Linked DNA regions of Stegostoma tigrinum. The protein of the gene in region 2 purifies or fractionates together with the protein of the main gene of each other region. This does not show direct contact. Links are inferred from orthologs where the notes say so. Each region holds a gene or a part of one and is shown on either strand. Other genes may lie near its edges.

Evidence for each region. The genes of interacting proteins can lie anywhere in the genome.
Region 1: the proteins of sin3aa (region 2) and chd3 purify together in Homo sapiens (affinity purification with western blotting; 3 studies listed by BioGRID, with this or other methods). This does not show direct contact. The link is inferred for Stegostoma tigrinum from reciprocal best matches to the Homo sapiens genes SIN3A and CHD3.

What each region holds. Positions count from the first base shown.
Region 1 is NC_081398.1:14,312,404-14,316,152, reverse strand, and holds the start of chd3 (chromodomain-helicase-DNA-binding protein 3), read right to left. Parts: upstream 2,856-3,749; 5' UTR 2,417-2,855; coding exon 2,320-2,416; intron 774-2,319; coding exon 649-773; intron 1-648.
Region 2 is NC_081389.1:4,649,343-4,653,091, reverse strand, and holds the start of sin3aa (SIN3 transcription regulator family member Aa), read right to left. Parts: upstream 2,516-3,749; 5' UTR 2,474-2,515; intron 2,162-2,473; exon of another isoform or gene 2,058-2,161; intron 1,741-2,057; exon of another isoform or gene 1,594-1,740; intron 729-1,593; exon of another isoform or gene 431-728; intron 1-430. UniProt on the Homo sapiens protein: Acts as a transcriptional repressor. Corepressor for REST. Interacts with MXI1 to repress MYC responsive genes and antagonize MYC oncogenic activities. Also interacts with MXD1-MAX heterodimers to repress transcription by tethering SIN3A to DNA.

The DNA.
Region 1 (3,749 bases), on a different chromosome or scaffold from region 2:
CAAGCGGAATATGAGTTGCTGTTCCTGCAACCTTCAGGTGGCATCATTGTGGCACTGCAGGAGGCCCACGATGGACATGTCGTCTGAGGAAGGGGGGGGGGGGGAGAAGAGAGAGTTAAAATGGTTCGTGACTGGGAGGTGCAGTTGTTTATTGCAAACTGAGCAGAGGTGTTCAGCAAAGTGGTCCCCAAGCCTCCGCTTGGTTTCCCCAATGTAGAGGTAGCCACACCGGGTGCAGTGGATACAGTATACCACATTGGCAGATGTGCAGGTGAACATCTGCTAATATGGAAAGTCAATGGATTTTTAATGGGTTAGGGTTTCAGTTTGTCTACTCCATCATCCCCTGCATGGCTAATGGAGCACACGGCGATTCTTTTTTCCATCCAGCTTCGTCCTCAAAAGGAGGTGGTGCGGTGGCAAGGTGGCAGAATAGGCTACATGGAAGATCCATTTTTTAGTCCTGCAGCATACGTTTTCTAATGGGAAGGGCCATTGGGGTTCACTGGTATCTCTGGGTCAGAAGGAACAAATACCATTTGGAGCAAATACCAACTGCTCCAGAGGTACATCATAATATGACTGAACAGGTCAACTGGAAAATATCTAGCTGCAGGGTGAATAACCAGAGAACTTGCTGCTACTCACCAATTTCTTCCGCTTCTTCAGCTTAGTTGGTTTATTTTCCTTTTGTTTTTTCAGGAATTTCTTCTTCTTCTTTTTGGTACTTTCACTGTCTGAAATCTCTTCGTCCTCCTCTTCCACATCTTCTGCTGAAACAAGAAATGTGCAACTGTTTCAATTCGGCAGCATTAAACACCAAGGCCTTAAGTACTTAGAGGTTGCCATTCGGCTTAGAGCCTGCTCTGCCCTTCAACCAGATCACAGCCAATTAATGCAATTTTCTGAAGAAGGGTCCAGACCCGAAATGTCAGCTTTCCTGCTTCTGTGATGCTGCCCGGCCTGCTGTGTTCATCCAGCTCGGCACCCTGTTCTCTACTTAAGTGTTCTTTTAATATATGAATTATGCTTCGATAGAAAGCATCCAGGGATCAGCCAGCACTGGGGACCATTAGAAAACCAACGCAGCTGCTGCAGCGGTAGAATAGGGGCACACAGAAATTTTAAAAAAAATCAGGAATAACGGAAAAGCGTGGAGAAGGATGTACTGGGTTAAGGAAGAGAGGGTGAGGATGGTGAGTTCAGGGTCTTGGAACAGGAGCTGGCCATCGGGACATTCCAAGATATTCCACTGTTCAAAAAGTTACCGTTTGGCGGGGGAGAAGGTGTGTCTCAGCTCCACATGCCTCTGAGGCGGATCAGTTGGGGAGAGCAGATGCTGTACGTGGAGGAAGGCTGGTGTCGGGGCAGTGAAAGAGTTAAAGGGAGCCGCCGCCGAGCGAGAAAATGGCGGCCGCCGGCTTTGTTTTTTTTTGGGGGGGGCGCGAAAGGAGGAGAAAAGAAGGATAAATGGGCAACTAAACAAACTGGCAGCCGATCTTATTGTGGGGGGAGGAGGAAGAGGAAGACAGGGCAAACAACGAGCAATTGAGGATATCACAAAGATATAAATCGCACCTATGGTGAAGGGGGGGGGTTTATTACCTCAGATGAAAACATCCGTGGAGCTCACAAGAGGAGCACACAAAGAGAAAATTTAAAGTCCGCCCCGGGTGGGGGGGTATTTACACAGATATTGTCGAGGGTGGGGGTCGGAAAAAGGAAGGTTTGTTTCGCCGGGAGATCGTGCTTCTCTCTCTCTGTGTCTTGTCTGTCACTCGCCCCCTCGGCGGGTTGTTGTTGTAGCAGCAGCGTTTGATTGACAGGCGCGGCCGTTAGCACAAGGAGCGCGCGGCCCCCGGGGCTCGGGCTTCCACTTGCAGCAGGAGCCGCGTCTGAGGGCACAGGGAGCGGGAGGAGGAGTGAGGGTTTAAACGGCGCGAGAAAGAGAATGAACTTTACGGCCGCTGCAAGCCAACAATCCGGGGGGGGGGGGAACATTCCCAAAAGAAAAATAGCTTTAACGCGTGCAGCCGGCCAAACCGAAAGAAAAATAAAACGCCGGCGTCGGAGAGGACACCAACCAAATATTGAGAGATGAGAAAAAAAACACAAACGACTGCACGGGGAGGGGGGCTGTGGGTGTGGAAAAAAATAATTCGTGGGGGTGAAGGGAAGAGATGCCATATTGCCATTGCAGCCCTCCGCCCCTCGTGCATTCTACCCGAGCACTTAATGTCGAAAGGTTTTTGCAATTTTGGGGTTGGGAGAAAAATAGCTTTTAGAAGCGGCCCCGGGGAAAGCGGCGCGCGCGCTAACCTGCCGCTGGCGGGAAAAGCTGCAAACCGGCGCCGCTGCGTTCGTCCATGTCCTCCTCATCCTCCTCCTCTTCTGGGTGCCTCACTGGAGATGCCATGGCCTCAGGAATTTCGCCCACCCCTCCCTACTCACTCAATAAAAATATATTTCCTCACTCTCTTTCCTCTCCCCCCTTCCCTTTTCATATATGTACACAAAATAACGAAAGCTACGCCAGTCTTTCTTCGGGAACACCCCCCCCCCCCAACGGTTTCTATTTTTTCCCCTATACACACAAACAAAAGTTATCCTACAGACTTTTGTTTTTGTGTGAGGGTTTCCTGTAAAGATCAGATCTCTCTCCTTCGCTAGTTTTCAATTTAAAGACCCCCCCTTCCCTTTCTTAAGGAAAAAGTTCCAAGCTACTTAACCAAACCCCCTCAAAAATGTTTTAATATACAAGGGGAAGAAAAGATGGCGTCCAAAATATTTTCCACCCCCCCATTATGAAATTTGGTGGGGGGGGAATTTGAAGAGAAAAAAGGTGGAAAATTAATCAGTGCTCATGCTCAGATTGACGTCACCCCCTCCCGTTGCTATGGGCACCCTGCATCCCATAATAGCACCAGTTTAACTAGTTAGGACTGACTCACGTGGGTCTTTAACCAAGTAACCAGGGGATGTCCAGCAATTGCCATTTTTCAGTCAAGTTGGTGAGGGTGGTCAGCCTCCTTTTGGCCCTATTGCTCCTGATTCATTAACATCATGATAAACACCTTCAAGGTCAACTTTCAACTTATATTTTGGTCCTCTCTGCTCGGTCAAACATGAGCATCTTCCTTCTTCTTTTCATGCTCAAACATTTCCTACCCAGTTCGAAGAAAGATGCCCGCTTCTTTCCTCTCCTCAATGTCCCTGGGTCCTCACAGCAACTTGTTAAAAAAAATTGTCCCCTATCTCATCTCCAAAATTTTCCCGCGAACCAAAAGAAACAGCATTTTTTTTTAAAAAGTCCCACTGGCAATGTTATTTTCCACTTCAAACCTAAAAAAACTGATGGCCCCAATTTGTTGGACACTGTATTAAAGCAGCAGAAACAATATATTTGGTGCAACATTGCTCCCAAGGGATTCATGTCTGGTGGCTCAGTGAGTAGCACTCAGGCTGTGACTTTATATTCCCTTGGCAGAGATTTGAGCGCTACATTCTAGCCGACTTTCTCAGCGCTTCAGAGGAAGCACTGCCTCGTCAGAAGTACCATCTTTCAGATGTTATATTAAAATATGACACCGTCTACCTCTTCAGTGGGACGTAAAATATCCCATGACCTCTGTTTCAAAGAAGGGCAGGGGAGTTCTCTTCATTAGCTCCAGCTAATATTTATCCCTCAAACAAAAATTATCCCCAGATTATCTGGTCAATAGCACGTTGCTGTTTGCAGGACCTTATCT
Region 2 (3,749 bases):
CAGCGTCAGATTGGACTCGAAACCTTTACGTTGTTTCTCCATGGAGACTGCCAGACCTTCTTTATGTAAGGCTATTTGTGTTTTGATTTGTTAACGTGTTTACAAATTTATGATTCAAGCCCTTAGGGAATGAAGAACCAAGTTAGCAAGCGGGAGGGTATTTTTTGAGTTTAAAATATGGAGTCGGGCCCAGTGCGGTGTTCGTGCACTTTTTTTAAAAAAAGTAAAAGTCGATTTCCTTTCTCAGGAGACCTAGACGGCTCAGCAGCTTCGAATCTTCTAACTGTTCAACCTCTCTGCTACCACTAATAGTAAATATTATTCATCGCCTGTAGGTCGAAAGTTCGATAAACACCGTAAGATCGCTGAATTCACTGTTTTTGGAGGGGCACAGAACACCAGAGTATAAATAAGATTGAAGGATGATTACAATTGGGTCAATAAAGTCTGGGCTCCACCCCTTGCTCGCCCCGAACTCGATACAGTCAACACTGGCCCTGGAGCTTTTCATTGGTGGGTAGTGTTTTCACTCTTGAATTTGTGATAAGAACCAGGACGCTTCAAAATTCGCCGAATCCACGCGGCCCTTCGCGTTTAGGAGTTCGGTACCCAAAATACAGCAGTGGCTCCCCGGGGTGACTCAACTAGGGCATTCGGCTTCCTCTTTCTTTCCTGAAGGTTTCAGGTTGGAAGCTGGAAGGAACTGGATTCATTGCTGTCATTTAAGTTTCAGAGGAGCGGGAAACCCAGTGAGTGACTCCGAGCAGGAGGAAATCCAATATCCCCGGGTGACGCTGGGTGGATCCGTCTCTTCCCCGCGAGAGTGTGACAGCGGGCAGGTCTCTCTTTCTCCACCCCACCCCTTCCTCCAGGGTGAGATTAATTCCAGGGGGAAAGTCCTCGTTTGTCTTTCCCCGCGGGAGAGGGGGACTCCGGGCAGGACTCCTGCCCCAGTTCCCCAGGGTTGACTGATTCAGGTGAGGGTTATAGCAAGCAGGATTCCTCCTGGCTTCCTTCCTTCTCTGCCCCCCAAACCCCGACGAGGGTGACTCCACCGTTGGGCTCTCCACCGGAGAGAGTAATTCCGGGTGGGAATTCCCTGTCTCTTTGTTACAATCCCATTCCGCGCGTGAGGGAATCCCCGCCCCGTTATGTGAACCTCCATTGTGACGCATCCGAGGGGGGCAGGAGCCAATCAGCTCCTTATAGTACCAACCAATCAGGAATGGGAAGGCGGCGACAGTCGGTAGTTACCAATAGGAAGTACGAGGCGGGGCCAGTGATCTGGGGGCGGGGCTATACCGTGTTTACTGTGTGGGAGCGAGCCAGGAGGCCGCAGACCCCGGAGTCGCGGGGAGGAGGAGGAGGACGACGACAACGACGACTGGTTGCTGCCTGTGGATGTGCTAACCCATGGCAGTGGGGGCGGGTAGGAAGAGATTCGCTACCCAAGGAGAAGGTGGTGGTGGTGGTAGTGGTGTTTAACTGCCAGGGTGCACACAGTCGGGGAAGGTGGTGGTGGCGGCAGTATGGGGCCGGGAACGAATGAAACATCATACACCACCCCCGCCGCCCCCCCCCCCCTCCGGTCACCTCTCCCCGCCGCTTCTCTTCCTCATTGTCCGTCCCCGGGAGCTGAGGCCGGTGGAAGGCTGGTTCCACGACCCAGAAAGTTGCGACAGGCTTTTGTTACACATTCCGGGATCGGAGACACTCCCGCTGGGGGTGAGGGAGTGGAGAGGGTATGCGCGGGGAGAATGATGGAAGCGGCTCTCCAGCACGGGAGGAGTGTGGGGGTGTCTGAAGGCACAAGGGGAGGTGGAGCCTAATCCGATCAAGTCCCTCCCGTCCCCTCCCCTCCCCACAAAGCGGCTCCGAGAATCCGACACAACAAAATGGCCCGTAGACTGCGCAGCTTCCCTTCCGCCTCGCTCCCCTCTCCAGCTACACGAGAGCGGGCAGCCCCGCTCTCTCCGTGCCGCTACTCCCCACCGAGCAGATTATAAATAGTAAGCTGATGGCCAGAGAGAGTGAGAGCAACACCGCCCTCTCCTCACCTTCCCTCCCCGAGAAGAGGCAGCCCCGGTTTGGGGGGGCGGGGGTGGCTTCAGGAGCACGGTGTGTTTTTCTCCCCCTTCCCCAGGGGGATAGCGGGTGAAGTCGAACGTTGCCCCTGGCTCGCAGCAGCAGCCGCCCCAAACCCAGCCCTTCCCCAGGCTCAGGAAGCACTCGCCAAGGCCGGGGAGCTCTTCCCCCACCCCCTTCCTAAGCGCACACACATTCTCTCTCTCACTCACACTCACACACACACACACACACACACACACACACACACACTCCCCTCTTCACCCCCCTCCAAGTGAACGGACTCTTTCCTTCCTCCAGCCCGTACCCCTTGTGCAAAACAGAAGAAAAACCATTCAGAAAAGGAAAGCATCTACAAACAACACAGAGAATCGGAGGGTTCGCTCACCCACAAACTCCCAGCTGCTCTCCCTCCCCTCCGCTCTCACAGGCAAACCGAGAATGGATACACCCCCTCTCATTAACATAGGCCCCGGGGAGGGAGGGGACTGATAGAGCGTCACTGCTTTAAACTCAACCCCGCCAACAACTGTCTGACTCCGAGAGACTGAAGTTTCCTTCATCCCATCACCCTCAGCCCTCCCTACTCATCGGGGGCGGGGACCCTGCCTGGCCGCATTCGGGAGCTTCTTCCTTCCGATGCATTGCAGATGTCAATTTCAAGAAGAAATCTCAAAATCCGCCTCTCCACCGAACACAATGTTCACGGCCTCTTGTGGTCGTGTTAGGAAGCCCCGTCTCTAATTTGCGCACAGCATGCTCCCATCGGCTGCTAAGTGAGCCCCTGACCCATTCATGTCGGTGCTGCAGTCAATAACTGGCCCGTACCTACTGCAATGAGACTCGGTCGAACCCATAGTCGTTTGATTCGGACACATATGCTGTGCCTTTGAAGTAGACAAAATTCTACCAATGCAGGACAAATGAGCGTTTTCCACAATACATATGTTACAGAGATAGAAAGACAAAAATAGTCTGCTGTGCTGTGATAACAAGGTGTAGAGCTGGATGAACACAGCAGGCCGAGCAAAAAAGTTTTCATCTCGAATATCTGGGGAATACATGCATTGGAGGCAATTCAGAGAAAGTTTGCTTGACTGCTTCCGGGCATGACAGCATTAGTCTTCCAAGAATGGTGGGTCTTTTGGGCCGATACACATTTGAATTTGGAAGAATCTGATTTTACTGAAATATAAAATTCTGCAGATATGTTTTCTCTCATAGAGTCATTGAGAACTAGGGGACACAGTTTCAAAATAAGGAGTCTCCTGTTTAAGGCAGATGAGGAGGAATTTCTTGAGAGTCAATAGTGTGTGGGATTTTCTGTCAGTGTGTTAGGCAGACCTTTGATAGACAAGGGAGTTGAGAAAGCACAGGATTAGGATTGGAGTTGAGGTCACAATCAAGTCAGCCATGGTTTTATTTGACTAGTGGAGGAGGCTTGAAGGGCCAAATGGCCTGCTCTTGCTTCTATTTCATAAGATATTGGAGAACATCATTGTTCTTTGAAACAGTGATTGGATCACTGCCATCCAACTCAAAGCACAGACTGAGCCCTGATTTATTGCTACCCCTGATGGTGCAGCACTCCCTCAGTACTGCTTTTGAATGTCAGTGTGAGGTCCAGTTTCTGGAGTGAGACTGGTAACCATGCCCATCTGAAG